7 linked regions of the Oryctolagus cuniculus genome follow. The main gene of each other region encodes a partner of the protein of the gene in region 2 in a complex. Links are inferred from orthologs where the notes say so. Each region holds a gene or a part of one and is shown on either strand. Other genes may lie near its edges.

What was found.
Region 1: TAF7 (region 2) and TAF9 share a complex: the UniProt entries of both Homo sapiens proteins name them as parts of the TFIID basal transcription factor complex. The link is inferred for Oryctolagus cuniculus from reciprocal best matches to the Homo sapiens genes TAF7 and TAF9.
Region 3: TAF7 (region 2) and TAF5 share a complex: the UniProt entries of both Homo sapiens proteins name them as parts of the TFIID basal transcription factor complex. The link is inferred for Oryctolagus cuniculus from reciprocal best matches to the Homo sapiens genes TAF7 and TAF5.
Region 4: TAF7 (region 2) and TAF11 share a complex: the UniProt entries of both Homo sapiens proteins name them as parts of the TFIID basal transcription factor complex. The link is inferred for Oryctolagus cuniculus from reciprocal best matches to the Homo sapiens genes TAF7 and TAF11.
Region 5: TAF7 (region 2) and TAF13 share a complex: the UniProt entries of both Homo sapiens proteins name them as parts of the TFIID basal transcription factor complex. The link is inferred for Oryctolagus cuniculus from reciprocal best matches to the Homo sapiens genes TAF7 and TAF13.
Region 6: TAF7 (region 2) and TAF3 share a complex: the UniProt entries of both Homo sapiens proteins name them as parts of the TFIID basal transcription factor complex. The link is inferred for Oryctolagus cuniculus from reciprocal best matches to the Homo sapiens genes TAF7 and TAF3.
Region 7: TAF7 (region 2) and TBP share a complex: the UniProt entries of both Homo sapiens proteins name them as parts of the TFIID-containing RNA polymerase II pre-initiation complex. The link is inferred for Oryctolagus cuniculus from reciprocal best matches to the Homo sapiens genes TAF7 and TBP.

What each region holds. Positions count from the first base shown.
Region 1 is NC_091445.1:90,326,944-90,330,885, reverse strand, and holds the start of TAF9 (transcription initiation factor TFIID subunit 9), read left to right. Parts: upstream 1-1,142; 5' UTR 1,143-1,189; exon of another isoform or gene 1,190-1,262; intron 1,263-1,480; exon of another isoform or gene 1,481-1,496; coding exon of another isoform or gene 1,497-1,788; intron 1,789-3,663; coding exon of another isoform or gene 3,664-3,756; intron 3,757-3,942. Other genes in the region: cell cycle checkpoint protein RAD17, read right to left, coding at 696-906; AK6 (adenylate kinase isoenzyme 6), read left to right, coding at 1,497-1,788, 3,664-3,756. UniProt on the Homo sapiens protein: The TFIID basal transcription factor complex plays a major role in the initiation of RNA polymerase II (Pol II)-dependent transcription.
Region 2 is NC_091437.1:28,859,471-28,862,738, forward strand, and holds TAF7 (transcription initiation factor TFIID subunit 7), read right to left. Parts: upstream 2,024-3,268; coding exon 974-2,023; 3' UTR 501-973; downstream 1-500. UniProt on the Homo sapiens protein: The TFIID basal transcription factor complex plays a major role in the initiation of RNA polymerase II (Pol II)-dependent transcription.
Region 3 is NC_091446.1:26,638,826-26,642,325, reverse strand, and holds part of TAF5 (transcription initiation factor TFIID subunit 5), read left to right. Parts: intron 1-598; coding exon 599-914; intron 915-1,690; coding exon 1,691-1,854; intron 1,855-1,965; coding exon 1,966-2,101; intron 2,102-3,476; coding exon 3,477-3,500. UniProt on the Homo sapiens protein: The TFIID basal transcription factor complex plays a major role in the initiation of RNA polymerase II (Pol II)-dependent transcription.
Region 4 is NC_091436.1:134,549,826-134,553,782, forward strand, and holds the start of TAF11 (transcription initiation factor TFIID subunit 11), read left to right. Parts: upstream 1-1,157; 5' UTR 1,158-1,266; coding exon 1,267-1,437; intron 1,438-3,907; coding exon 3,908-3,957. UniProt on the Homo sapiens protein: The TFIID basal transcription factor complex plays a major role in the initiation of RNA polymerase II (Pol II)-dependent transcription.
Region 5 is NC_091438.1:61,355,587-61,359,697, forward strand, and holds the start of TAF13 (transcription initiation factor TFIID subunit 13), read left to right. Parts: upstream 1-1,311; 5' UTR 1,312-1,411; coding exon 1,412-1,438; intron 1,439-2,288; coding exon 2,289-2,367; intron 2,368-4,111. UniProt on the Homo sapiens protein: The TFIID basal transcription factor complex plays a major role in the initiation of RNA polymerase II (Pol II)-dependent transcription.
Region 6 is NC_091444.1:75,310,815-75,314,314, reverse strand, and holds part of TAF3 (transcription initiation factor TFIID subunit 3), read left to right. Parts: intron 1-1,876; coding exon 1,877-3,500. UniProt on the Homo sapiens protein: The TFIID basal transcription factor complex plays a major role in the initiation of RNA polymerase II (Pol II)-dependent transcription.
Region 7 is NC_091436.1:55,085-59,081, forward strand, and holds the start of TBP (TATA-box-binding protein), read right to left. Parts: upstream 2,801-3,997; 5' UTR 2,590-2,800; intron 1-2,589. UniProt on the Homo sapiens protein: The TFIID basal transcription factor complex plays a major role in the initiation of RNA polymerase II (Pol II)-dependent transcription.

The sequences.
Region 1 (3,942 bases), on a different chromosome or scaffold from region 2:
GAATAAAACAGTTGAATCTCACTGTCAGTTTTTCTAGAACTTCCTTTGAGCACGCCATCAGAAAACGTCTTGGCATCACTGTTTTCCGATTTGCGTGATTCGTCAATACTGATGGAAAGCAGTGAATTCAACCATTTTAGGGCCGCCAGGAGGAACGATTTTCAAGGCCAACAAACTGTACCCTGGGAAGGTGTACTGGACTATCTGAGGAGGCACACTTCCACACACTGGCAGTCATTCACCTCTGAGAGTAGACCGCTATCAGCAATGCACAGTAGCAAAAAAAAAAAAAAAAAAAAAAAAAAAATCGATTCAATGTAGCCGACAGTCAGCACTGCAGCCGCTCAGTGAAAGCGAGACCGACAATTACCTCCTTGGAAAAGCAGGTAACTGTCAGCGACGATGCCCGTTTCCTGAAATTAGATGTCAGAGGCAGAAGACACGTTCAGGACCATCCCGAGCCCACCCACCACCACCCCACGCGCTGCACAGCCGGTCCTGAGCTCAGACATTCGTTCAGCGCCATCCTGCAACCAGCCGGCAGCCAGGCTGAGCTCGTCGGTCCCCGCTCCAGGCCGGGGCACCGCAACCCCGTCTCTCTCGTCCCAGGCGGGACGGGAGGGCATGGAGGCAGAGATGGGCTCGCGCGTCCAGGACACACACAGAAAACACCGCCACAACCGCGACGGCCTTACTTTCCGGGAGCCGCATTCCCCTCCCTCGTGGGCGGAGAGGAGCCAAGGAGCGCGGGGCCGGCTCCGGTGTTGGGGTGGCCACCCGACCCTCCCCGGGCTCGGCACCGAGCCTCTCGGGGGTCCCGCCTCCCGGGGTCCTTCCACACCCGTCGGCGCCTCGGCGACGCGGCGCGAAGGGCGGGGGCCCCAGGCGCGCGAGCGACATAGGCATCCAGCGCACTGCCTGACTCAGAGCGCGCAGCGAGCTGGCTCCCGGCCTCCATTCACGCCACGGAAGCGTGTCACAGAAGCCCAGGGAACCGCTGGCGGCGGCTGGGACTGCGGAGCTGGGCCGGGAGCGGGCGCCCGGCACGGCCTCGAGGACCCCGCGGCCGCCGGCGCTGGCGCTGCCCGCCCCTTCCGGCTCCTCCTCGCGGTGCGTAGGGCGCGCGCAGAGGAGGCGCTCGGGGCGTCCGCCGGGACGACTATGCGGCTGCCGAACATTCTGCTCACCGGTCAGGGCGCGCGGCGGGGACGGGACGCGCGGGGGGCTCCGGGCGCCGGGCGGGGAGCGCCGGGCTGCAGCGGGCGGCCGGGCGGGGGCCGCGGGGCGCGACGGTGGCCGGGGCCTGCGGACGCGGCGCGGGGCGGGGGCGGCCGCGGGGCGCGGGGAAGCCGGCCGGGACCCGGCGCTCCGGTGTGGGCAGGCTCCGTTATCTTTATAATAGAGACCCTGGTGTTCTGCTCGGAAAGCCAGCTTTGGCGTCTCTGGTCGGGTTGCTTTGGGGTTTCCCGGAGGTAACGTGCGGAAGCGTGTCGGCCATGGCGGAGGCCTCGCGTCGTGGGCCTTCGCGGGTGGGCGCGGGTGCTGGCGGCGTGGCGGAGCGCGTGCAGTCACTGCGGCCGTGTGCTGGGGTAGTGTCCAGGCGCCTGCCTCCCTTTGTGATGGGAGCGCACGCTGTGGAGCCCCCGGCTGCTCGTGAGCCCCTGCGGGTCTCGGACACTGACCCGCTGTGGCCAGCGAAGCGGCTAGAACGCTGGGCCTCTAGGCCTGAGACGTGTCCGTTGAGAGCGTCCTGCGCCGTTCGTGGGGGAATCTATGGAGCGTATCGAAGTATTAAGAGATTGTGAAGAGTTGTGTTTTTTTTTTTTTTTTTTGAAGATTTGTTTGTTTGAAAGTTACAGGGAGAGGGAGGGAGGAGACGCAGATCTCGCATCTGCTGCGCTGGTTCACTCCCGGCAGGATCGCAGTGGCGGGGGCTGAGCCAGGCAAAGCCAGGAGCTTCACCCGGGTCTCCTGCACGGGTGGCAGGGGCCCAAGCAGTTGAGCCGTCTGCCACTGCTTTCCCCCGGCCCTGAGCAGGGAGCCGGACTGAAGTGGAGCAGCCAGACACCACGGGCACTCGTACAGGGTGCTGGAGTGGAAGGCAGCGGCTTTGCCCCTACTCCACAGCCCTGAACCCTGAAAAGGTTTTTTCCCTTCAACATTTAACGAAACTTGACATTTTTGGCAGCCCACAAAGATTGTTCCTAGGTGCTGCGCAGTAGCCCCTCAGCTAGTGAGTTTTTAGCCTGTGAGATTCATTATGATGAAGATTTTGCAGCATCTGATTTGCATGGATTAGTGTCCTGATTAATGCTGTAAAAAAAAAATCTGGTGTGAATATTTTAATGAAAGTTGAGTCCAGGGTTCAGACTTGGTATAATATAGTAGACAGGGGTTAAATGTCCTGCATGTGGAGATTGGATTTATACATGTTAATAATGCTCAGATGTAATCATTAAAGTGTCATTAAACATTGAGAAGCTGAAAATTATGCGTTTGATTATCTTGGAATATAATTCTTTTAGACGTAAAAGGGGAAAGGTATAGAACAATGCATAGTATTACCATTTATGTAAAAGGCAATACAAGTGGCATGTGTTTTTGCACATAGGATATGCTACCTACACCTACTTCTGTGTATAGACACACATGCATAGGACTTCTTCGGAAAGGTATGCAAAAGACTAGTTACAGTGGTTCCCAGACTAAGGTTTGTTCCATGAGCAATTTTTTTTTTTTTTTTTTTTTTTTCTTTTTGGACAGGCAGAGTTAGACAGTGAGAGAGAGAAACAGAGAGAAAGGTCTTCCTTCTGTTGGTTCACCCCCCAAATGGTTGTTACGGCTGGCGCGCTGCGCCGATCCGAAGCCAGGAGCCAGGTGCTTCTCCTGGTCTCCCATGGGGTGCAGGGCCCAAGCACTTGGGCCATCCTCCACTGCACTCCCAGGCCACAGAAGAGAGCTGGACTGGAAGAGGAGCAACTGGGACAGAATCCGGCGCCCCCACCGGGACTAGACCCCGGAGTGCCTGTGCCGCAGGCGGAGGATTAACCTAGTGAGCTGCGGTGCCGGCCAATGAACAATTTCTTAATCTTTTAAAATAAAAGCAAATAAATGACAGTAATTGATTTGAGGTGGCTGATTTTATTGTGGGCAGTCTGACGTTGGTGGCAGCAGTCAGAATTTGTATTCCCACCCATGGAGAAACATTGCGTGATTCTGACATCCAGAGCTTTTTTGCAGAAAAATTTTTTTAATTCGGGAGAGCACTCATGCATGTTCTCATCCACTGATGGACTCCCCAAATGCCTGTGCTGCCAGAAACCAGGAAGTCAGCTCAGTCCTGCTACCTGGATACTTGAGCAGTCCTCTGCCTCCTGGGATCTGCATTGGCAGGAAGCTGAAGTCAGGAGTCAGAGCCAAATACCGAACTTAGTCTAAACTCAAACATGGGAGGTGGGCATCCTAACCTCTACAGACACCTGCCCTGGGAGATTTTGTTTAGTTGGTTTTGTATATTCACATCTGGTTGCTTACTACTATTTTTGTATATTCACATCTGGTTGCTTTCCTACTAGGAAAGTTGTTAAGAACCTTACAAAGGGTGGAAGTAGTTGAAGTCTATAATAGTATTTCATAGGCATTTTTCTGTGATTTGTCTTACAGGTACTCCAGGGGTTGGGAAAACCACACTAGGCAAAGAACTTGCATCAAGATCAGGACTGAAATACGTTAATGTGGGTGATTTAGCTCGAGAAGGTAAGGGGATGCTTTAGTGTTGGGTTTTTGTTTTTGTTTTTGTTTTTGTTTTTCTTGCAGTCGGCTAGTGGAATTATTGGTACTGTTAGGTATTGTGAGAGGGTACAAAAGCAGAGACAGATTCCTATTATGGAATTTGTGCTCTATCCGGAGCCTACAGAAAAAGAAGATACTAAGTGTCCAATA
Region 2 (3,268 bases):
GGAGTGCAGTGGAGGATGGCCCAGGTGCTTGGGCCCTGCACCCCATGGGAGACCAGGAAAAGCACCTGGCTCCTGGCTCCTGCCAGGATCAGCGCGGTGCGCCGGCTGCAGCGGCGGCCATTGGAGGGTGAACCAACGGCAAAGGAAGACCTTTCTCTCTCTCTCTCTCTCTCTCACTGTCCACTCTGCCTGTCAAAAAAAAAAAAAAAAAAAAAAGGGTAAAGCAGGCCTTCATCTACAAATACTAGAGTAGTTTAGAATGGCTCTGTATCTCATGTTTTCCAGCCTCCTGATGGAGCAGGTGGATTAGAACCTTAATAGAATGCAAAGATGACATTTCCCAATTTCTGCTATGTTCCTTTTTTTTTTTTTTTTTAACCCACAACTGCTTCTTTACCTGCAAAGCAGGACCAAACTGACCAATCATTAAACTCTACCGAGAAACCACCTCAAAAGATTATCTGACTCCTATTACCAATGAAAAAATCAAGACACATAAGTTGAAAATTAGTCGCTTTTATTTATGTTAGAAACCTTATGAAATTATTTGCATCTCTACATGTGTGAAACTGCTTTGATTTAACTGAGAAAATAGTTAGGGAAACATATGCAAACCAACTTCATTGCCTCTACACTAGGTTCTTACCTATCTCAGAAGGCACCACATGGCAGCAATAGCAGCTTCCGGGAAATGGGGAAACAGCAGCAAAGTCCTGCAATGCAGCTGTGAATATTAGGGTTCAGCTGTTCATTCCACTAACCCTACAACTTCCTAACAATTACATTACTGCCTAGTCAATCCTAATTCTATAGAATGAACACCTAGCAAAGTGCTTCTTGAAAACAAGATAATTTAAAAAGAACTTCTAGCATTAGAAGGAACGGGAACTACTGCAAAATCTTAAAATCCAGAAAAAGTGATGAAGATTTTCTTAGTGTGGAACCATCAGGTTCAAAATGATCAAAATTCTTCTTACTTCTCTAGGAGTGACTCCAGCTCTTCCTGCAAAGAGCTGAGCTGCTCCTTTTCTCGGTCTTCCTTTTGTTTTAACTCATCCAGCACAGCCTGAAATCTGTTCTTGAGAGCCAGGTTTTCCACCTTCATGATGAGATCCTCCTGTCGCTTGGCCCTGTCCTGGGTCTCCTGGAGCTTGCCTTTCATGTTGTCAATCTGCTTCTGAATGCCCATAACCAGCTGGTTGGTCCCTTCGTTTTCTTGGTGCTGTTCATCTGACTCATTCAGCTTGTCCTGCAGCTGTCTCTCCAGGTCTTCCTCAGTGTCGATGATGTTTATATCTTCTTCGTCCTGGTGCTGGGTGTCATCTTCATCCTCGCTGCTGCTGCTGAGGTCATTGAATATCTCCCGAAGCTCATCGTGCTCCAGGGAGTCCTGGCCCTGCCTGTGGCCAGACATTCCTGGGGAAGAGATGTCAAGGCCTTGATTCTCCGTCTCTTTTGTTTCATCTTCAGCAATTATCTCCCAGCGAGTACTGACAGCTTCCGCATCTGTACTCAGCAACCGCTTCACTTCTTTCTCCACGTCTGGAGACTCAATATACTTTTTCTTTGCTGTCTTCCGGAATCTTCTCTTTCTGACATTCTTTAGAGGCAGAGTAATTCCATGGTTCCAGACGAACTTTTTCTCTTTGTCCTTATCCTTTTTCTTGCTTGCTTTGGGGTCAGCAGCAGCAACTGGCTCCTCCACAGGGGGATAAAGATCACCATCAACTGTGGACACGAGCATCTGACAGATATCAGCAGTCTTGTAAAAGGTTTTTTTATCGATGGTTTTCAAGCTTTCCATAACACACGGCAGATCCACCAGTTTTGAGGCCAGAGGGACCCGGTCCACTCTGACAATTCCATGACGCCCATCGGGGTGTAACTCGATGGTCAGTCTGTCTTTCAGGTTGACATGCCCCGACTGCACTGCCCTCCTCACAGTAGCAGCATATTCTGGAGGCAGGCGCAAGATAAACTGGCTCTCCAGCTCATGAGGGGCATCATCTTTGCTCTTACTCATCTTCACTTCTTTCTGACTCCCTTCTCCTAATAAACACTTGCTGCACTGAAAAGTTTCAGCTACTGCAACAATTTAAAAGACCAGTTCCTTATGAATTAAAATCTAACAACAGAAGGTTCTATGCAGAACAGTAGCTAAGCATCTGTTTTGTCTTAATTTTTAATCAAGCCACAAATCTTTTCTCTAAATATGCTGCACTCCACACCCGCTGTTTGTTACCGACACACTGGCTTATTCAGAGAATTAAGTCCATTTAAAGCCTGGAGCTGCAATGCCGAGTTCCAGCCTCTAGGTGCCGCCTCCAGACAATGCAGACAGAGCAAGCGGGCGAGCGAGCGAGCAGGAAAGCAAATGGCGGCTCCTGCAGAATGAAGACGGCACAAAATTAGGACAAGCAGTCAACACCGACCCAAACCCTCCCGAAACAAGCATAACTGAAAAAGCGGGACGCAGCGAGCTGCCTTTGCCTCGGGTACTTACAATCCAGTGACGGTTATAAATTCAGCTTCGCGCCGGGCGCAGGCGGCGGGGGGAGGAAGCCACTCGCTGCAAAGCGGCGGGGAGCCTCTTCTCTCGCCGACTCCTTTGTTCTTCCTGCTGCTCAGCTGAGTGATCCGCTACTGATTACCAATGCTTCGGTCCCGGCGGGAAGCGCGAAATTTCGCCGAGACGCGCTGCGCAGAGCCACACACCGGAGGCTCCGCAGGCGTCTGCCTGCAGCCGCTTGCAGAGCTGGCTTTAAAGCCGCGCTGCGTCACGGCGCGGGGCGGGAAGCGGCCGTGAGTGACAGCACGGCCGGGCGGAAAGACGGCCCGCCCCGAGCGCGCGCAGACGCAGTCGCGGCGCTGCGATTCCGGCCGGGACTCGTTCTCTGGATCCAGGGGAATTGTTTTAGGGCGTGAAAATGAAGTTTCCTGCCGACCTAGTTTGAAAATAAGAGATAACGATTGCAGGAAGGTCACAGAGCCTCCCCCTGCTGAGACAGCATTTGTACCGGACCGGCAAGCGCCGAGATAGCGTCTAGACTTCGGGGGTCAGGGCATGTTTGCAGAAAGCGTTTTGCTTCGGGAAACGTCTCGCGTGTTCCCCAGGAGTTACCCATTCTGGTGTCGGTGCAGGAATTTGTAACTAACCACAAAGTGGATTTAAAAGTTCCCAAATCAATGGCGTAAGGAGAGCATGCTGTCCACTGTGTGGTTCTGTGTGTATTTTAATTATGAAAGTGCCCGGAGGGGGACCGTGCTT
Region 3 (3,500 bases), on a different chromosome or scaffold from region 2:
AAATGAACATGCTTATTGTTTGGTGTCACAGTTTGTTCTTTAGTCATAATATTAAAATATTGGTATTTAATCAATGTCTGATATTAAGGACATAGGAAATGATTAAAAGTAGTAGATTTATGAAAATGCCATATATTGATTATTGTTGAGAAGCTGTGATAGATGTATTGAGTTCATTATACTGTTTTCTACTTTTATGTATGCTTGAAATTTTCCGTAATAGATTTAAAAAGTAGGTTTTGATAAAACATAAAATTTAGTAAAGCAAGGATACTGACATTTCCAAATGTCTACCAAAGGTGGCATTCAAAAGAAATTTTGTACCAGTATCATTAATTCATTTATGGTATTTATTTAAGACTATTTTATATATTTGATAATTTCATTAGATTATTAAATCGGTCATTTTTAGGATGAATTCAGAAACTGAATTATAACGATTTTGAAATGAATTCCTTCTATTCCTACAGCTTATTGGTTCAGGATTATTCAGACTACTACATTGAAAATATTCTGGGATGGTTTATAAATATTTGGGGGAGAGGCGGATCCCTTAATGATTACATTGAAAAATGACTTTTTAAAATCACTGAAACAGGTTCCATGGAGATCAGGAATGTTATTACCAGGATGACCTACGAGTATTATCTAGTCTTACCAAAAAGGAACACATGAAAGGGAATGAGACCATGTTGGATTTTCGAACAAGTAAATTTGTTCTGCGTATTTCCCGTGACTCGTACCAACTCTTGAAGAGGCATCTTCAGGAGAAACAGAACAATCAGATATGGAACATAGTTCAGGAGCACCTCTACATTGACATCTTTGATGGGATGCCGCGTAGTAAGCAGCAGATAGATGCGATGGTGGGAAGTTTGGCAGGAGAGGCTAAACGAGAGGCAAACAAATCAAAGGTATGGGATAAAACTAAGAACTATATAATGCAGATGATGAAAAATTGTAGCATTTCCATCTAAATAAAATTTTTCTTGTAGCTAGTTTGGGAATACTTTTATCCTGTGTTTAAAGTTTCATATTTTAAGGACAATGTATAAGTATATGAGATGTGGGGAATGGTTACATTTAAAAGAAACCTGACTACAGTGTAAAACCCAAGAGGTTTTTCCTCATGTAAGATGGAATCTAGAGGAAGGCCTTCCAATGCTGCCATGGTAGCCCCATCATGCCATGGGTGTCCCTGGCTCCTTCTAGTTTCTGGTCCACCGTGTTTAGCATGTGGTTTGCTTCTTTGTGCTCACGAACGGCTGTTGTGGCTCCAGCATTGCAGCTGTGTTCTAAAAAGGAAGAGGGAGGATGAAAGGCATATATCCCTGCTGGGTCTCGCCCTTAGTGTTAGGAAAAGTGTGTGTATGTGGTTTTTATGTTCCCCTCTGAAACCATAACCACGATGTTTCTGTGTGTATTTGGTGGCCAGAATTATGTTATATGGGCATTGCATTCTTAACTGTAAAGGAGCCTGGGAACACAAATTATTAAGCACTTGCTGCTCCAGTTAAATCAGGGTTCTGTTTATAAGGAAAAAAGAGAAAATTGCTGCTTGGCAAATAAGTACAGAGCCCTGCTTCAGATTATAAATTACTGTTCTGTACTTGTGATTCATCCTGTCAAGATGTGAAAAGGTATATTGCTGAACAAAAAATTTAAAATGTTGGGTTCTCTTAACTTGTAGGTATTTTTTGGTTTATTAAAAGAACCAGAAATTGAGGTGCCTTTGGATGATGAGGATGAAGAGGGAGAAAATGAAGAAGGAAAACCTAAAAAGAAGAAGCCTAGAAAAGATAGTGTTGGATCCAAAAGTAAAAAGCAAGATCCCAATGCTCCACCTCAGAACAGGTGAGGCAGAAGGCCTTGGGAACTTGTCTGGAGGTGTGAGGCAGTATGTTTTAGAGAGCTCAAGTTTGTGAATGTTCACAGGGTGATTTCCAGCCTGTTTTTCTTTCACAGAATCCCTCTTCCTGAGTTGAAAGACTCAGATAAGTTGGATAAGATAATGAATATGAAAGAAACCACCAAACGAGTGCGCCTTGGACCAGACTGTTTACCATCTATTTGTTTCTATACATTCCTCAATGCTTACCAGGTTAGTAAAATAAGTGGACAATTTCTTGTTGGAGAGTTATTTAAAATTGTGATTTACCATTAAGACAAAGTTAAATGTGTTAATTAAAATGGAGTTTTATTATTTGAACTCTTGATATAATTTAGAATTACAGTAATTAGGAAAGGAGAATTGGATGCTGTGCACAGTCGATAGAAAGCAATGTTTAAAAGACCATTAGGGGCCGGCGCTGTGGCTCACTAGGCTAATCCTCCACCTTGCGGTGCCGGCACACCGGGTTCTAGTCCCGGTCGGGGCACCGGATTCTGTCCCGGTTGCCCCTCTTCCAGGCCAGCTCTCTGCTGTGGCCCGGGAGTGCAGTGGAGGATGGCTTAAGTGCTTGGGCCCTGCACCCCCTGGGAGACCAGGATAAGCACCTGGCTCCTGGCTTCGGATCAGCACGATGCACCGGCTGCAGCGCGCCGGCTGCAGCGGCCATTGGAGGGTGAATCAACGGCAAAAGGAAGACCTTTCTCTCTGTCTCTCTCTCTCACTGTCCACTCTGCCTGTCAAAAAAAAAAAAAAAAAAAAAAAAAAAAAAAAAAAAAAAAAAAAAAAGAAAGAAAGAAAAGAAAAAGAAAAAAAAAAAAAAAACCATTAGGAACTTGTAAATACCAGAATCTCACTTATATTTGAACTCCATTTCACTGATCAGAATTCTGCTAACGTTTCAGGAGGAAATTATGACCCATCTGTTCTACACTTGGTTTAAATACTTATATAAGCTTATGTGTTAGGAATTCTATGTCTTTATGTCTCTTTGTAATAGGTTGTGAAAGATATATTTAATAAAGTACAAAAGTGATTAACATTTAATTCCTGTGCACTCTTAAATATGGAGGGCAAAAAAGGGATCAGTAATGACATGCTCTCCAAGTAAATGCTTTTATAGAACAAAAGCTCAAATGATGTTTTATTTGAGAAAAACAGCCATCATTCTATATTCTCTTAAGATGTGACTGTAATTTTTCTTCTAAGATAGTATTTTTTTTTGAAAGACATTTATTTAAAAGGAAGAGTGATGGAGCATGGAGAGACATAAAGATAGAGTTATTGATCAGTTGGTTTATTTCCCAAAAGTTGGCAATAGTCAGTGCTAGGCCAGGCCAAAGCTGAAAGCCAGGAATTCTGTCCAATATCCTGTGTGGTTGGTGGTAGCTCGGTTGCTTGGGTCATCGTCCTCTGCCTCCCAACCACATTAGTAAGCAATTGGATCAGAAGCATAGAGTAACTGGGATTCTAACCAGGCACTGTTACAGGATGTGGGCATCTCAAGCAGTGGCTTAACTTGCTGTGCCACAATGCCCACCCTAAAACAGTATTATTTACTATGGAACATTTTTTCCCCCATTGGCAGGGCCTCACTGCAGTGGATGTCACT
Region 4 (3,957 bases), on a different chromosome or scaffold from region 2:
GCGCGTCACTTCCGGGATCCGGCGTCACGCGTCACCGCGCCCCCATGCCCCGCCCCCTTGCCCACCTAGCTGGGCGGGGCTCCGCGTCCCTGTGCAGGTGGACCTTGGTGTGTCAGGACAGGACTTGGGGGTCAATGGGGCAGTGCCATGTGGGTACCCATTGAAGAAGTGGAAAGGGACAAAGGGGACCCACCTGTGTACGCCTCCAAAGTGCGCTTCTTTTCCAAAGGTTTTGGGAGCTCACGGGACAGGAAATACGGTAATTCGTCCCGGCGGTGTGGAAACAAAGAGAGAAATATGGTAATACGCACCTACATTTCCAAGTCCGTTCTTTAAGCATAAAGCAGTATGTAACAGGTGCGGGAGCCTGGTAATACAGAGGTGAATAAAACGCCCTGCCCCTCCCTCCGCGTGCCTCAATGAAAAAAGGCAGGACATTTTAAAAGCAGAAATATCCTAGCCCCTTCACCATCCCAATCCGTGAAATGGCTCATTAAAGTGAAGCGCTCAAAGGAGAGACCTCCCACCCTGTAGGGATTCCTCATGATGAGACTGAGTGGGTAACAGAAGTCAGGCTTGAGAAACCTATCCCGATTTTCAGCACTGGCGAACTGGAAAAATCATTTAATTCGGTAGAAAATGTTTTTTCCCTGTACTAGCGCTGCTCCGGACTCAGAAACAGGCAGTCAACACTCGTGGAGTGAATGAATGGGTTGGATAAACACTGCTCAAGCAATAGGACTTTTTTTTTTTAAGGTGCTCGTGAAATATTCGTAGAGGGGAAATGGTGGCAATTCAATGTAAAGTCAGGCCCGCAGTCTGTCCAGGTGAAATAAAGGAGGTTGAGTCCCTGCCTGAAAGTTTGCTACCCCAAGGTTACGCGACAGCCGCGTACAAAAGGAGCAGTTTTCTCCCAGGTCCTCCAACTTTGAGGAAGAGGTTAACTGACAAAGCATTCTTAGAACGACGGAAAGGAAAAAGAAACCCTTCAGGAAGCACAACTGCACTTCTTCACAGGTGCTGGTCTCCAAGGACGGATCCACAGGGGACTTTGCACCCTCAGCGTTCTCTCTCCAGCACCACCCACCCAGGATTCAAACGGAGCCCTCAGGTGCTCCGCGCGCCCCCCATGGCCCTTCCGAGGACCAGTAGTGGTGACGACATCGCGGTGCGACGACAGGAAGTAAGCGCCCACTGTGCCGCGCGAGGTCCGGAGCTCCGCGGCCGACAGCACCGCGATCTCCTCCCCTTGCCGTTCTAGCTGTGATGGACAATGCCCGCGAGTCTCCTGCGGACAAAGGTGGGGAAGCAGGGGAGTCAGACGAGACGACTGCTGCTCCTGGGGGCCCGGGGACTGCGGACACGGACGGGATCCCGGAGGAAGCGGACGGAGACGGAGACGCGGACTTGAAAGAAGCGGCAGCGGAGGAAGGCGAGGTAGGCAGAGAAGTGTGACTGAGGTTGGAGGCATACGCCGGGATTGTGTTACCCGGAGCTCGCCACGATTCCCTCTAGATCTGCCGTCCGGGGAGTGTGGGAGGAGCAACAAAACTGTGGTGCTGGTTTGGTTCCAGAGACTCGAGCATTAGGTTTTAATATGTTTAGTCCTTGCCTTTCGGGATTAAAGCTACATCTAAGTGAATTTTAAATAGCTTCTTGGTTTTCCTATTGATGAAGTCGGTACTGTCATCCCGAGACTTAGTGCAAGAGCCAAAATCCAGGATTCCCAGCGCGCCTTTCACCGCACTATAGGTCCTCTTAGTTAATTGTTGTTTAAGTACAGCTTTCGTCTTTACAGGAGGCAGAGTTGATCAGATCTGTTAACGGGAGACTTTGAAGTCATATTCTCATCCAGCTGCTGCAGTGTCCTCCGTGCTAATGTCCAGGGGTTTCTATAACGTAAAAACACCAAATCCATCAGCTGTGCTCTCAGGATAGCTCAGCAGGGTTGCCTAACCGCGCAACAATCGCGACCAGAATCTCAGCGTCCTGTGGGTTCCTTTTCTAAAGAGAGAATTTCTAGGATCTTAGAGGCAGAAGGAACTGAAGAGCTCATGGACTGAACGTTAGATGGATAGCCTTGTCACCAAAACATACACGGTAAGCTTTTAGAAAAAGAGAAGACAGTTGACAAAGCTGAAGAAGGAAAAGTTAAAATGGGTCTCAAGGACGCAAAGGAATTGAATAATTAGCATGGTCCACTAAAGGAGCTCACTACAATATAGAAGTTTGGAGCCAGCAGAGGATAGAATTATGATGCTTTTGAAACATTTTTAAAAATTAGGCCGGCGCCGCGGCTCACTAGGCTAATCCTCCGCCTTGCGGCGCCGGCACACCGGGTTCTAGTCCCAGTCAGGGCGCCAGATTCTGTCCCGGTTGCCCCTCTTCCAGGCCAGCCCTCTGCTGTGGCCAGGGAGTGCAGTGGAGGATGGCCCAAGTCCTTGGGCCCTGCACCCCATGGGAGACCAGGAGAAGCACCTGGCTCCTGCCATCGGATCAGCGCGGTGCGCCGGCTGCAGCGCGCCGGCCGCGGCGGCCATTGGAGGGTGAACCAACGGCAAAGGAAGACCTTTCTCTCTGTCTCTCTCTCTCTCACTGTCCACTCTGCCTGTAAAAAAAAAAAAAAAAAAAAAAAAAAAAAAAAATTAATCAAAGACCAGCATTGTGGCACAGCAGGTTAAGCTACCTGCAACCCCAGAATCCCATATGGGCACTGGTTCAGTTCTGGCTGCTCCGCTTCCAGTCTAGGCCCTTGCTGATGTGCCTGGGAAGGCAGCTGAAGGTGGCCCAAGTTGAGCACCTGCACCCATGTAGGACTTCTGGCTTCCACCTGGCCCAGCCCTGGTGGTTGTGACCAATTGGGGAGTGAACTAGCAGATGGAAGAACTCTGTCTCTCCCTCTCTCTGTAACTCTGCCTTTCGATAAAAATTGATTATGTTGGGGCCAGCACTGTGGATTAGCTTTAAATATGTAACATAATGCATGTAAGTATGTAAAATATTTATTAATATTCTTTAAGTCAGAATCACAAAGTTGGGGGTGGGGGGTGGGGAGTGAGCAAGCTTCCATCTGCCTGTTCATTCCCCCAAATGGTCACAGTGGCTAGAGCTGGGCCAGGCTGAAGCCAGGAGTCAGTAGCTTCTTCCAGGTCTCCCACATGGGTGCAGGGGCCCAAGGACTTGGGCCATCTTTGGGCCATCTTCTGCTGCTTTCCCAAGCACATTAGCAGGGAGCTGGATCAGAAGTAGAGCAGCCAGGACTTGAACTGGCACTCATATGAGATGCCAGTGCTGCAGACAGCAGCTTAACCCACTATGCCACAGCATTGGCCCCTACATATTTTTGATTTTCAAAGAATGTACTTATTAGAAAAAAAAAATGGCCTATCTGCTGATTCACACTCCAAATGCCCAAAACAGCTCAGACACTCTAATAGGGGACATGGACATCCCAACCAGCATCTCAGATTTTCACTCCAGGGCCTCCTTTTTAATAATCTTTCTAAATTGAATCGTCAATAGTAAAAATATCTTTGGATCCAGAGGAGAAGAGCTGGCTGGCTGGAGAGGGCTTTGGTGACATCCCCTGTAAGGAATGAGCAGGAGAGAGAGTCCATGGAGAGAGTGGTTTTCATGATCTTGGCCATTTCTTTATCCTTGTATACAGACACTGAAGCTGTGATCATAGCTAAACTGGAAAACTAGATTATTTAACTGGTTCTTTCTACAGCCTAACTAACCTTCCTTGAGGAGAGATACTGTATCTTATACTGGGTGGAACAGTCAGTTCTGGGACAAAAAAACTACACAATAAGTGGATCTGTTGTGTTATGAGGATGATGTCTTAACCTTAGCCAAGCCTGGAAAGTAGGACAAATATATAATAGAGTTCTTTTCATCTTCCCAGCTCAAAAGTCAGGACGTCTCCGATTTAACAGCAGGTGAAAGGGAAGACGC
Region 5 (4,111 bases), on a different chromosome or scaffold from region 2:
TAAAAAATACAATGTGGCAAAATGCTGAAAATTGTTAAATCCTGAAACTAAAATGAGAACTTATCAAAAAATGCCCAAATAAGAAATAAATATAAAAGAATCTATTAATATGTTTTTTTTATTTTTTTTATTTTATTTATTTATTTTTTTGACAGGCAGAGTGGACAGTGAGAGAGAGAGACAGAGAGAAAGGTCTTCCTTTGCCGTTGGTTCACCCTCCAATGGCCGCCGCGGCCGGCGCGCTGCGACCGGCGCACCGCACCGGTCCGATGGCAGGAGCCAGGAGCCAGGTGCTTTTCCTGGTCTCCCATGGGGTGCAGGGCCCAAGCACCTGGGCCATCCTCCACTGCACTCCCTGGCCACAGCAGAGAGCTGGCCTGGAAGAGGGGCAACCGGGACAGAATCCGGCGCCCCGACCGGGACTAGAACCCGGTGTGCCGGCGCCGCAAGGCGGAGGATTAGCCTAGTGAGCCGCGGCGCCGGCCTATTAATATGTTTTTAACACGTAAATTCTCAGGCATGACAACACAGGAGGTATAATAACAATGTGGTTGCTTGTACCTAGATGTAAATTTACCTCGAATGTAGGAACTACAAATGTAGGCAGATTCCAGGTGAGCACTATTTAAATTACAAGCGATATTGCCTTTGGTGGCAGTATTTCCTCTTAATAAGTTCCAAACAAAGCAAAATGCAACAGATCACCAATTTTGAAGAAGTAACAGTCACAGGAAATCCAATGTTCATTAAAAGCATGGGAAAAATAGTTTATATAAAATAATATTTTCAGTCATTGAATGTTCAGCAGGACATAGAGAAATCGTGTGTATTATTGGACTTTTTTATCGTGTGGCATCATCCCTTAGGTTGCAGGATATTTTATGTCAACTCCAGCCTCTTACTGCGTGTTCTCATTGTTAAAACCCAAATTCTTCTCCAGAAAATTTTAAATCGTCTCTAAGGATAGCGCCCCCTTGAGAACTAGTAGTGAAATATAGTACCCCACAATAATTAACAAAGTGCTTGGGATCAATAGTGCAGGCGTAACTCATTGCACTTTAAAATACACCCCTCAGAGCAAGACCGCGGGATCGCCCTCCTACGCTCCAGGTCAGGAAAGGTGGATTCAACACGCACAAGGAGATGTAGGGTGATAAGAGGATACACACTGCCTGGTGCATTTCTTTCAGTTTGCTAAATTTTAGTTCCTTCCTCGGGATTACAGAACCCAGAGCTCACGCTGCTACCCTACAGACCGTCTCTCTCAGCGGTCGCTAGGCAGCTCCCCCTCCCAGGCGTGTTTGCGGGGACCCGGCCCCGCCCCCTACGTCACCGGAAGTGACGCAACGGAAGTAGTAAAAACCCGCTGAGAGCGAGCCGGCGCGGCACAGTAGGTTGTCGGGCTAGTGTAATGGCAGATGAGGAAGAAGATCCCACCGTGAGTGACCGCCTTTGTCCCAATCCTCCCTTTCGCTCAGGCTTAGTGACGGAAGCAGAGTTCAGAATGGGGTGTTTTCCTTAGTGAATTCAGTCGAGAGAGTTCGGGGACCAGTTGTGCTTGTCTTTTCCTTCAGCTTCATGGTTTTAGTACTCCGGGGCAGGACGTGAAGTAGTGGGAAGGTAGCCCCTTTCCCTTCGGATTCGGGCTGAATCTGCTAGACACTTTGTGAAACTAGACGATCGTCAGAGCTAATCACTCGTATTTGTTGGTGCTCGTTAAATGAACCAACAATCTAGCTGCTAACAGAATTGGATATTTATTGTGAAGTGTTGGAGAAATAACGGACCACAAATCAGAAGCCTGGATTTCAAAATCTCCATTCTCACCGAACAAGTTATTTAACTTTCAGCATCGGTTGTTCTTGATATAAAATAAGGTTAAAACAGATAAGGAAAGGTTTTAGCACTGTATAAGCAGGTGCTTAGTTAAAATTTTTCCTTTTTTGCTGCAGGGAGGTAGGCTTTGATTCAGTATCGGTCCTTGAATGGCAACACTGGCTAGCAGTAGACCAACTTAGTTGGTTTTAAACAAAAAGAACTTGCGGCTGTTAAAAGGCTTACGTGTCTAGGCAGGATTGTTGTGGACAGTGTAGAAACCATTTTTGCGGGAATTGAAATTTTGACTAGGTAGTCTCTAAGGGCTCTTTAGTGCTAAGTTATCATGATTTTTTAGTGCTTGCTTTTAAGCGTTTTGGCCTGATATTAGTGTTAAAAATGAAAGCAAGTTATTAAAATATCAAATGCAATGCAATCACTTGACATTTCTATATATACATTTTAACTTCTAGTTTGAGGAAGAAAATGAAGAAATTGGAGGAGGTGCAGAAGGTGGACAGGGTAAAAGAAAGAGACTCTTTTCTAAAGAATGTAAGTAGTATTTGACAGTGATTTTATTATAGATCATGCAAACTTTTGGACATGTCCTTTGGAATAGATTTATATTCTGAAAATGTTTGCAAGGATAATATTCTCAAAATTGCCAGTAAAGTTCAATTTAATTTTTGCCTTTTTTTAAAAGATTTATTTTTATTTTATTTGAAAGAGTTACAGAGTGAGGCAGAGTCAGAGAGAGAGGTAGGTCTTCCATCCTGTGGTTCACTCCCCAGATGGCCGCAATGGCTGGAGCTGTGCCGATCCGAAGCCAGGAGCCAGGAGCTTCTTCCATGCGGGTGCAGGGGCCCAAGGACTTGTGCCATCTTCTACTACTTTCCCAGGCCATAGCAGAGAGCTGGATCGGAAGAGGAGCAGCCAGGACTAGAACCGGTGCCCATATGGGATGCCAGCGCTTCAGGCCTGAGCTTTAACCTGCTGCGCCACAGCACCAGCCCCTCAGTTTAATTTTTGAATCACAGATACTAACCCCAGTTTAACGTATAATTGTGTTTTAAATTGTACAGAATTTAAGTGAGGGAATATTGTTATGTCTTTCTGTTAGGCTGTCACAAAAACACACCAAACTCCGGAGTAAGGGAAAGGGTTTATTGAGAAAAGCCAGCAGACCGGAAGGGTGAGGTGATGAAGGGAAAAAGGGAGAGGAGAGTATAAGAGAAAGAGACACGGAGAGTAGAGGAGCTAGTGAGGAGAGAAGAGAGACGAGAGGAGCCAAGAGAACAGGAGAGAAGAGCCAAGAGTGCCGCCTGTTCAGGAACAGGCCCTTTTAAACTTTGCCAGAGGGCGGGCAGGGAAACAGGAGCAGCGAATCCCGTTAGGATGGGGGTGGAGCTTGACACTGGTGGTTGGGCCATGTGGCTACATGGCTTTCAGCAATGGCTGTGAGAACCGGGGCATAGGATGTAAATCATGGTGTAGATAGCGCCATGGATAAAACTGCACCAGTTTCCTAACAAATATGATCAGTGTTTCAATTCAGGACAAAACAATATACCTCCACGTTTTCCTGGCCCTTACCTTTGCAACAGTAGAAGCAGGAGTTCTTTTGACTGTGGGCACTGAAACAGGTGCTGAGGGTAGGGGCTAAGTTGAGACTTTGGACTAAGGGCAGTGAACAGGGCAGGAAGGTGAGGAACAATGTGAGACATACAATGGCATGAAGATAATATAATGTGTTAGTGCTTTGTCCCACTCCCTCAGTAGACAGATTTTACCCTTTTTAGACAGCAGCATGAAGAAAGGAGATCTGTTCCTACTGCTGATAGTCCAGGACAACATTTAAAAGTCATCATGAGAATAGCTTTTTATCTCCCAGTACGGATTCCTTTATATCTATATAGCTGGGTATTGAGAGATGAGACAACACAGATTTAAGAATACCTGTTTATTAAGGTTGGGACAGATACGAGCAGTTTACATGTGATGTTAAAACTGCACATCAGTATGTCTTTTTTATTTGAAATTTATTTGAAAGGCAGAGTGACAGAAAAAGACAGAGATCTTCCATCTGATGGTTCGCTCATGCCCACAACAGCTGAGGCTTGGCTAGGCCAGGCGGATGCCAGTTGCCCAGAATGCCATTTGGGTCTCTTACATGGGTGGCAGTGGCCACAGTACCTGAGCCATCACCTGCTGCCTTCCAGAATCACAGCAGCAGGAAGCTGGATTCGAAGTAGAGTAGATGGGAGTCAAACAAGCACTCTGATGTGGAATGTCAGCC
Region 6 (3,500 bases), on a different chromosome or scaffold from region 2:
CATCACTGAGTAAAATATTTATCAAAAACTGTATCTAGAGATTAAGCTAGTAATCATCATCCTTCTCTATTTCCTGTTTTTTTTTTTAAGTTATTTATTTATTTATTTGAAATGCAGAGTTACGAAGAGGCAGAAGCAGAGAGAGAGAGAGAGAGAGGTCTTCTATCTGCTGGTTCATTCTTCAAATGGCTGCAACAGCTGGAGCTGGGCCAATTAGGAGCCAGGCACTTCTTCCGGTTCTCCCACACGAGTACAGGGACCCAGGGACCTGGACCATCTTCCACTACTTTCCTAGGCCATAGCAAAGAGCTGGGTCAGAAGTGGAGCAGCCAAGACTCAAACAGGCGCCCACATTACCTGCTGCGCCACAGCTCTGACTCCACTATTTCCTATTTCTGTTATTGACTGCATTTATTACTCAGCAGGGCTCAGCACCTGGAAATTGTGTTTGAGCTCTTCCTCAACTCTTACACCTATTCATTTATCATACTCTATTCTATCTTTACTATATCATTGGCCTTCATTGCTTCCTATTTATTACCGTTATTCTAGTCCTGACCCTTATTGCCTCTTACCTACATCATTTCAAAAACCCCTAACTCCCCCCACTTAGAATCCCTAGCCATCCTGTGTGTTCCTGCCAGTATAATTTTCCTAATACACATGCTTGGTGTTTTCCTCTGTTTTGTAAAAACTGTCACTAGGTCCAAACTACCAAAAGAAAAAAGATCTTTGTTCATTCTTGCAGAATTCCAAAGTTCTAGAGTCTGAATCCAATGTTACTAAACGTTTTACTCCTCCCCTTTCCTACCCATTTTATACCCTGCTTTCCAGACAAATTAAATGATCCTTGGTGCTTATATACTTCCTGTGTTTCACCTCCTTCTCTTTGTCATCTGACCCTTCATCTTGGATTTCCAGCTCCCAGCCTCCAACAGCCCCAAATGCTCCATAACACCCTGGATTCCACATAATTATCAAAGTGTTCAGCACGTGCATGGCATTGCAGTAATCTGCTTCTCCTTTGAATTGCTGTGGCGCTTTATTTATGGCACTAATCACTTGCTATGTGCTGTACACATATATTATTTCCCCTGCTGATCTGTGAGCTGTTTTAGGTCATGATTTATTTTTGATTTATTCCATTAGCTCTTTCACCCCTTAACACTGTGCATTATATGCTTTGTTAATAATAACAAATAATCTGATTTTACAACATCTCAGTCAAGCTGGCAAGCAAGTAACATTATCCCCTTTTGAAAGGTCAAGAAACAGACTCAAAGAGGTTAAGAGAGTGCCTAATATCTTTTGCTCTGTTGTGCCAGAACTCTATCTGAAACACCATTGGGCAAGCCGAATGTGTTCCATTAGACCATATTGTCTGATACCAAGCAAATAAAACAGAAGATACAAGGTGGCATGTGAATTGTGTCCAAAAAATCAAAACTGGTTATAGAAGCCCTTTAAAATTATGCCTTTCTGTCATTTGACTTTGAGAGAGGGGCACGCATGTGTCTACACATGAAAGGGGCATGGAAAGAGAAGGAGAGTATTTACTCAAGTTAGGAAAAGAATTAATTAAGGAAGCAGGGGAAGACAAACTGGAAATACTTAGCGAACTCCAGGTCCTGAAGTTAGAGCCACACTACTTAAAAGGGAAATAACTAGTTTATAATCTGCTGTCACATGGCACTCTTAAAAGACTGATGGCACACAGCTTTGGAAAATCCTTGAAATCTTAGTCTTTGAATAAGATTTAGTCTTTGAATACTGTCAGTAAATTTCTGTCTTTCCAATGAAGCCTGTTTGAAGCATTGTTTTTATTTGTTAGACTGTGTTACATTCCATTAATACTTCTTTTTTCATCCTTTGCCAGAGGAAGAAGAAGAGCAGGTACCCACTGATGGAGGCACATCAGCAGAAGCCATGCAAGTTCCCCTGGAAGAAGATGATGAACTGGAGGAGGAGGAAATTATTAATGATGAGAATTTCTTGGGTAAAAGACCATTGGATAGTCCTGAAGCTGAAGAAATGCCAGTCATGAAGCGACCACGACTGTTAAGCACGAAAGGAGACAACTTAGATATAGTATTATTGGAAGCTCGAGAACCACTCAGCTCAATAAATCCTCAAAAGATTCCACCAATGCTTTCTCCAGTCCATGTACAGGACAATACAGACTTAGCACCTCCATCACCAGAGCCACCAATGTTGGCTCCAGTTGCAAAATCACAAATGCCAACTGCAAAACCATTAGAAGCAAAGTCTTTTACTCCTAAAACTAAGACTAAAACAAGTTCTCCAGGGCAGAAGACTAAGTCACCTAAAACCACCCAGTCCCCAGCAATGGTTGGAAGTCCTATTCGGTCACCAAAAACTATATCCAAAGAAAAGAAATCACCTGGACGTTCTAAGAGCCCCAAGAGCCCCAAGAGCCCCAAGGTTATGACTCATATTCCCCAACCACCTGTCAGACCTGAAACACCAAATAGGACTCCTTCAGCTACAATAAGTGAAAAAATCAATAAAGAGACCATTCAGGTGAAACAAGCACAAACACCCCCCGATGCTGGGAAACTGAACAGTGAGATTCAGCCGAAAAAGGCTGTTGTCACAGATAAAACAATAGATGACTCTATTGATGCTGTGATTGCACGAGCCTGTGCTGAACGAGAGCCAGATCCTTTTGCATTTTCTTCTGGATCAGAATCCGAAGGAGATATTTTTACCAGCCCTAAGAGAATTTCAGGTTCGGAGTGTGCCACTCCAAAAGCTTCTACTTCCTCAAACAATTTCACGAAGTCAGGATCCACTCCTCTGCCTCTTTCTGGTGGAACCTCAAGTTCTGATAACTCATGGACAATGGACGCCTCGATTGATGAGGTTGTGCGTAAAGCAAAGATGGGAACACCGGCAAATATGCCTCCCAACTTTACTTACACCTCTTCCCCTTCAGTTTCTCCTCCCACTCCCGAACCTCTCCACAAGGTATATGAGGAGAAACCCAAACTGCCTTCCTCAGTGGAGGTAAAGAAGAAGTTGAAAAAGGAACTAAAGACTAAAATGAAAAAGAAAGAAAAGCAGAGAGATAAGGAGAGGGAGAAAGACAAAAGCAAGGAAAAAAATAAGGAGAAGGAGAAAGTGAAGGAGAAAGAGAAGGAAAAGGAAGCCAGCAAAGAAGCCAAGTATCCATGGAAGGAATTTCTGAAAGATGAAGACTCAGATCCCTATAAGTTTAAAATAAAAGAATTTGAAGAAGTTGATTCCAAAGTGAGATTGAAAGATGGAATTGTGAGGAAGGAGAAAGAGAAACATAAAGATAAGAAGAAAGACAGAGAAAAAGGCAAAAAAGATAAAGATAAGAGAGAAAAAGAGAAAGGTAAAGATAAAGGCAGAGACGATAAGATGAAAGCTCCACCGACCCCGCTGGTGTTGCCCCCCAAAGAAATGGCCTTGCCCTTATTCAGCCCTGCTGCTGCCGTGAGGGTCCCATCCATGCT
Region 7 (3,997 bases), on a different chromosome or scaffold from region 2:
GACCAGTGAAGCTATTTGGGAATGCATTTCTTTTTACTTTACAATCCTAAAGCATTATTCTTTTCATGTTTCCTACGATTAGGTCCAAAACTGCAAAACAAACAAACAAACAAAAAACAACTTCTTACACGTTTAAACTGTCTGATAAAGCTCAAAATCAAGGAGTCATACCCAGAGTTAAAAGCTTTTGGAGGGGGCTGACGCTGTGATGCAGGTGCCGGCACCCCATATAGGCACCGGTTCAAATCTCAGCTGCTCTACTTCTGATCTAGCTCTCTGCTATGGCCTGGGAAAGCAGTAGCGTATGGCCCAAGGCTTTTGGCCCCTGCACCCACGTGGGAGACACAGAGGAAGCTCCTGGCTCCTGGCGGCCATTTGGGGAGTGAACCAGCAGATGGAAGATCTCTTTCTCTCTAATTCTTTCAAATAAATATAATAAATCTTAAATGAAAAAAAAAAAGCTTTTGGAGGAACACACCTAGATAATTCCCAAGGAAAATGTGCTATCAAGGCATAATATTTATGAGGCATGGTACACACAGCACAGTGCTAAGGCCAAGTTCAGGTGTATAAATATGCTGCTCAATTTTATAGCCTCTGTAATGTCTTGGACATAAAGCTCAATAAATACTGAGTTGTACCCAATATAGTTTGGCGTGAAAGAAGCTGTGCAGACACAATGATAAATAAGATATTTTTATAAATACAGCAATCTTACCTCTTTAGAATACATTAGCCACAAACTGTGCCTATATCTGGCTTTTCTCAATCATTTCTACCATCTCCTGAAACTACTTCCTGATGAAAGAACCAAGCGACTAGTGAAAAACTTTTCAGCACAGTTCACTCCAACGTGCTGGCTGTGAGAACTGACTGAGCACCATGGGGGTGGGCTGGCTGAGTTAAAATAAAACATCAAGTACAAACACAGAACAATGTTAGCTACCATTATTGGTTTTCATTCCAACATAGCGCTCATAGGTCTCAGGGGTCAAGTTGTTCAAAGACCCATGTGCACCTCAAGTTGTGCTGGTAGAGTAAGCACTCAGATGCATGCTGGATGAACGGAAGAATCATCACTCTGAGAGGGCAAAGGGCCCCAAAAGCTGTCTATCCTATATGCTCATCACTGAAAAACAGACACACACAAAAAGCTCAACTTCTGAAAAGAAATGTACCAAAGATGTAAGAAAACTGTACTTTCTTTAGACGTTGCTGTAGTAACAGAAGTGCTGTTGATGTACAGCCGAAGAGGACACTGTCGGCATCAAGTAGTTCCACGTGCAACTGCGTAACGACTGCTCTACTAGTAACAAAATCAGATACCCGCGAAGTTCATCTCAGAAACCAGCACGCACGCCTGTAACCTGTACCCAGCACCAGGTCTTGCCCATACAACAGCACTTCAAAGAACACACAGAGAATGGATCACAGATGTGTTTAGTCTGGTCCAAACGATTTTGAAATCTGTGTATAATTTTTCACGATACACGCTTTCCATGAACTTCTTGGAGAGCCCTTTAGTAGTGGCTCATGGGTGAACGAACGCACGTACGCCACAGAAGACGGGACTAACAGGCGAGTGCTCGCAGAGAGGGCCTGTTTTCACAAAGCAAGGACCGTGCAACCTGGGTCTGGCAAGGTGAGTAGGAAATCATGAATCAGCGGCTCTGGCAACAGAGAAATTAAACGAGAGACAAGGATGGAGAGAGCAGCGCGCAGCAGCAAGCAACTTGGGGTCACACGGGCAGCAGGCGCAGCACCAGCACCCCAGCTTGGCACGCGTGGGGATACATCGGGGCAGTGAAGCCGAGGGCCGCAAGCCCAGTTTCGGGGTCACTGTCACGGCTGCGGCAAGAGATGAGGGCAGGATCACAGCACCCAACTGCGACGAGGCTGTTCCAGACCCCTGTTCCGAGCGCTCCTCTCACTCCCGGCCACGCGCTCACCGTCTTCCCCTCCCTGCATACTGAAACTGCGTTAGGCGCCTTACTGCACTGACTCTCCCTTCAACAGAGGCTCGCGTGCAAGGTCTTCATCTTCCGGAAACCCAAGACCAGGCTGCGTGTCCCCTGAGGTCATCCAATGAACTCTGTCTACTCCCGCGTCCGCACACGCAGCCAGGCGGGATCCTCTCCCCGAGGGGCCTCCCTGGCCGTCTAAGGACAGAGGTGCGCGTCTGCCTCGGACGTCCACCGCGCCTAAAGCTCGGACTTCCACAAATCGTTAGCAAGTGTCACGCGCGACTGTAAAATAAAACCGACCCCTGCGGGTAGCGAAGCCAGCGGGCACCGGCCAGAGAGGATGGGCGGAGGGTGCCAGCCAGGCGGCGCAGGCTCCGGGTCTGCCCCACCCTCGTGCGGGGAGAAGCCGTTTTCCACCCACAGCACAGCCGCGCACCGGGATGGAGCGGCGGCCGAACGGCCGGTACAGGCCCGAGCGGCGGCGGCTCGAGCGAGAGGAACCTCGGTCCCCGCGGGGCCTGCGCGCCCATTCCGCGTCTCCGCCCGCCACCGCCCCTGGGCCTCGCTGCAGCGGCCGCCTCCGCCAGCGCCCTCGAAAAAGAGAGAGAGTTAAAGGGCCAGGTACCTGGGTGCCGGCAGAGATCATCAAGGGCCTGCGGAAGCGAAGTTAAGCCGCAGGCTGCTCAGGCCCCGCCACAGCAACCCTACCCGACCCCACCGAACTCCAGGCGCGCGCTGATAATGTCACTTCCGCCAGTTCTGTCCGCGGCGTCAGCAGGCTGCACGCGCTGAAGGCGCGGCCATGGTAAGTGTGGGCGCGGGATCCTTCCGGTTTCTCCTGGGCGCTGGGCTCAAGGGAAATGAGGGGCGGAGCTCGTCGGAGTTCCGGGGCGGGGCCTCCTCTCCATAGCCTTTTCTAATTGGTGCTTTCTGGAAGTAAGGAAAGTTAATAATTGAAAAAAGTTTTTTAAACCAACTAGAGGTGTAACCTTGGCAAGTTAACATTTGCCTCGGGGTCTTTTTATTTTAGGATGAGTTCTTTCTAGTCTAAACTTGTTTTCTCTTTGACATTTCTTTTTATTTTGAAAGGTAGACACAGACGCGGAGGAGTCCCCTCCTAGTGCCCAGAAAGCCCTGGCCAGGCCAGTGTCCCGCGTGGGTGGCGAGGACCCAGCCGCGGGAGTGACGCCCGGCGTCCCCGGGCGACGGCGTCGTAGAGCGGCCGCGGGGCCCAGGAAGTAACCGCGTGGGCGGTGCGCGCGTGCTCCTCGCCGCGGGTGTGGGCCGCTCCGCAGCACGCGGGGCACCGGGTTGCGGATTCGTCGGGGCTTTCATTCCGCTGGGGCCGTCTTAGCAGGCTTCGCACTGTCGCCACGCGGCCGTCGTGGTCTTCCCGGCCGCTTCCTTCTGTGGTCACTTGGACGCGACCACGGGGGCAGTTTGTGCTACCAGTGAGGTCCTGAGCTCCGGAATCCAGGACAGTGCCTGGCAGTGCGTTGACCTACGGAGACCAGAGCGAGTACAATACTGGACTTTGTCGAAGACAAAGGCCATCTCTGGCCTTGTTCTCCTTTGCAGCAAAGCACGGGAGAGTTTTACACAAGCCCTTTAAAAAGTCTTCTCTGGTTCCAGAATTGGATGTGACCAGAAGTTAGCCAAACTGGTTAGCCAATCGCTTGCTTGCTCGCATTTATAATGGAACAAATAAGAAAGTGCATAAAGACTTGCCCAATTAACAAACAGTTGTGTCAAGTGACTACTGCCGGCAGGACACCCTGCCACCCCTCGGTGTGAAGTCTGCGTCCTGCTCAGCGTCCTCCTGCGTGGAGGATCTGCTCCGCACCTGCCACTGCTTGCAGTTGGCTCCCTGTGACCCCACTCGGGTCCTCTGCTCATCCTGCCGAGGTGACATTCATTGCTTCCAGTTTGGGGCCACTGAGAGCCAGGCTATGGGAACGTCCCTGTGCGTGTCACTGGCGTGGGAGATGCCGCCGGGAAACCTGTCCGCGGATCCCAAGAAGTATGGGAACGTC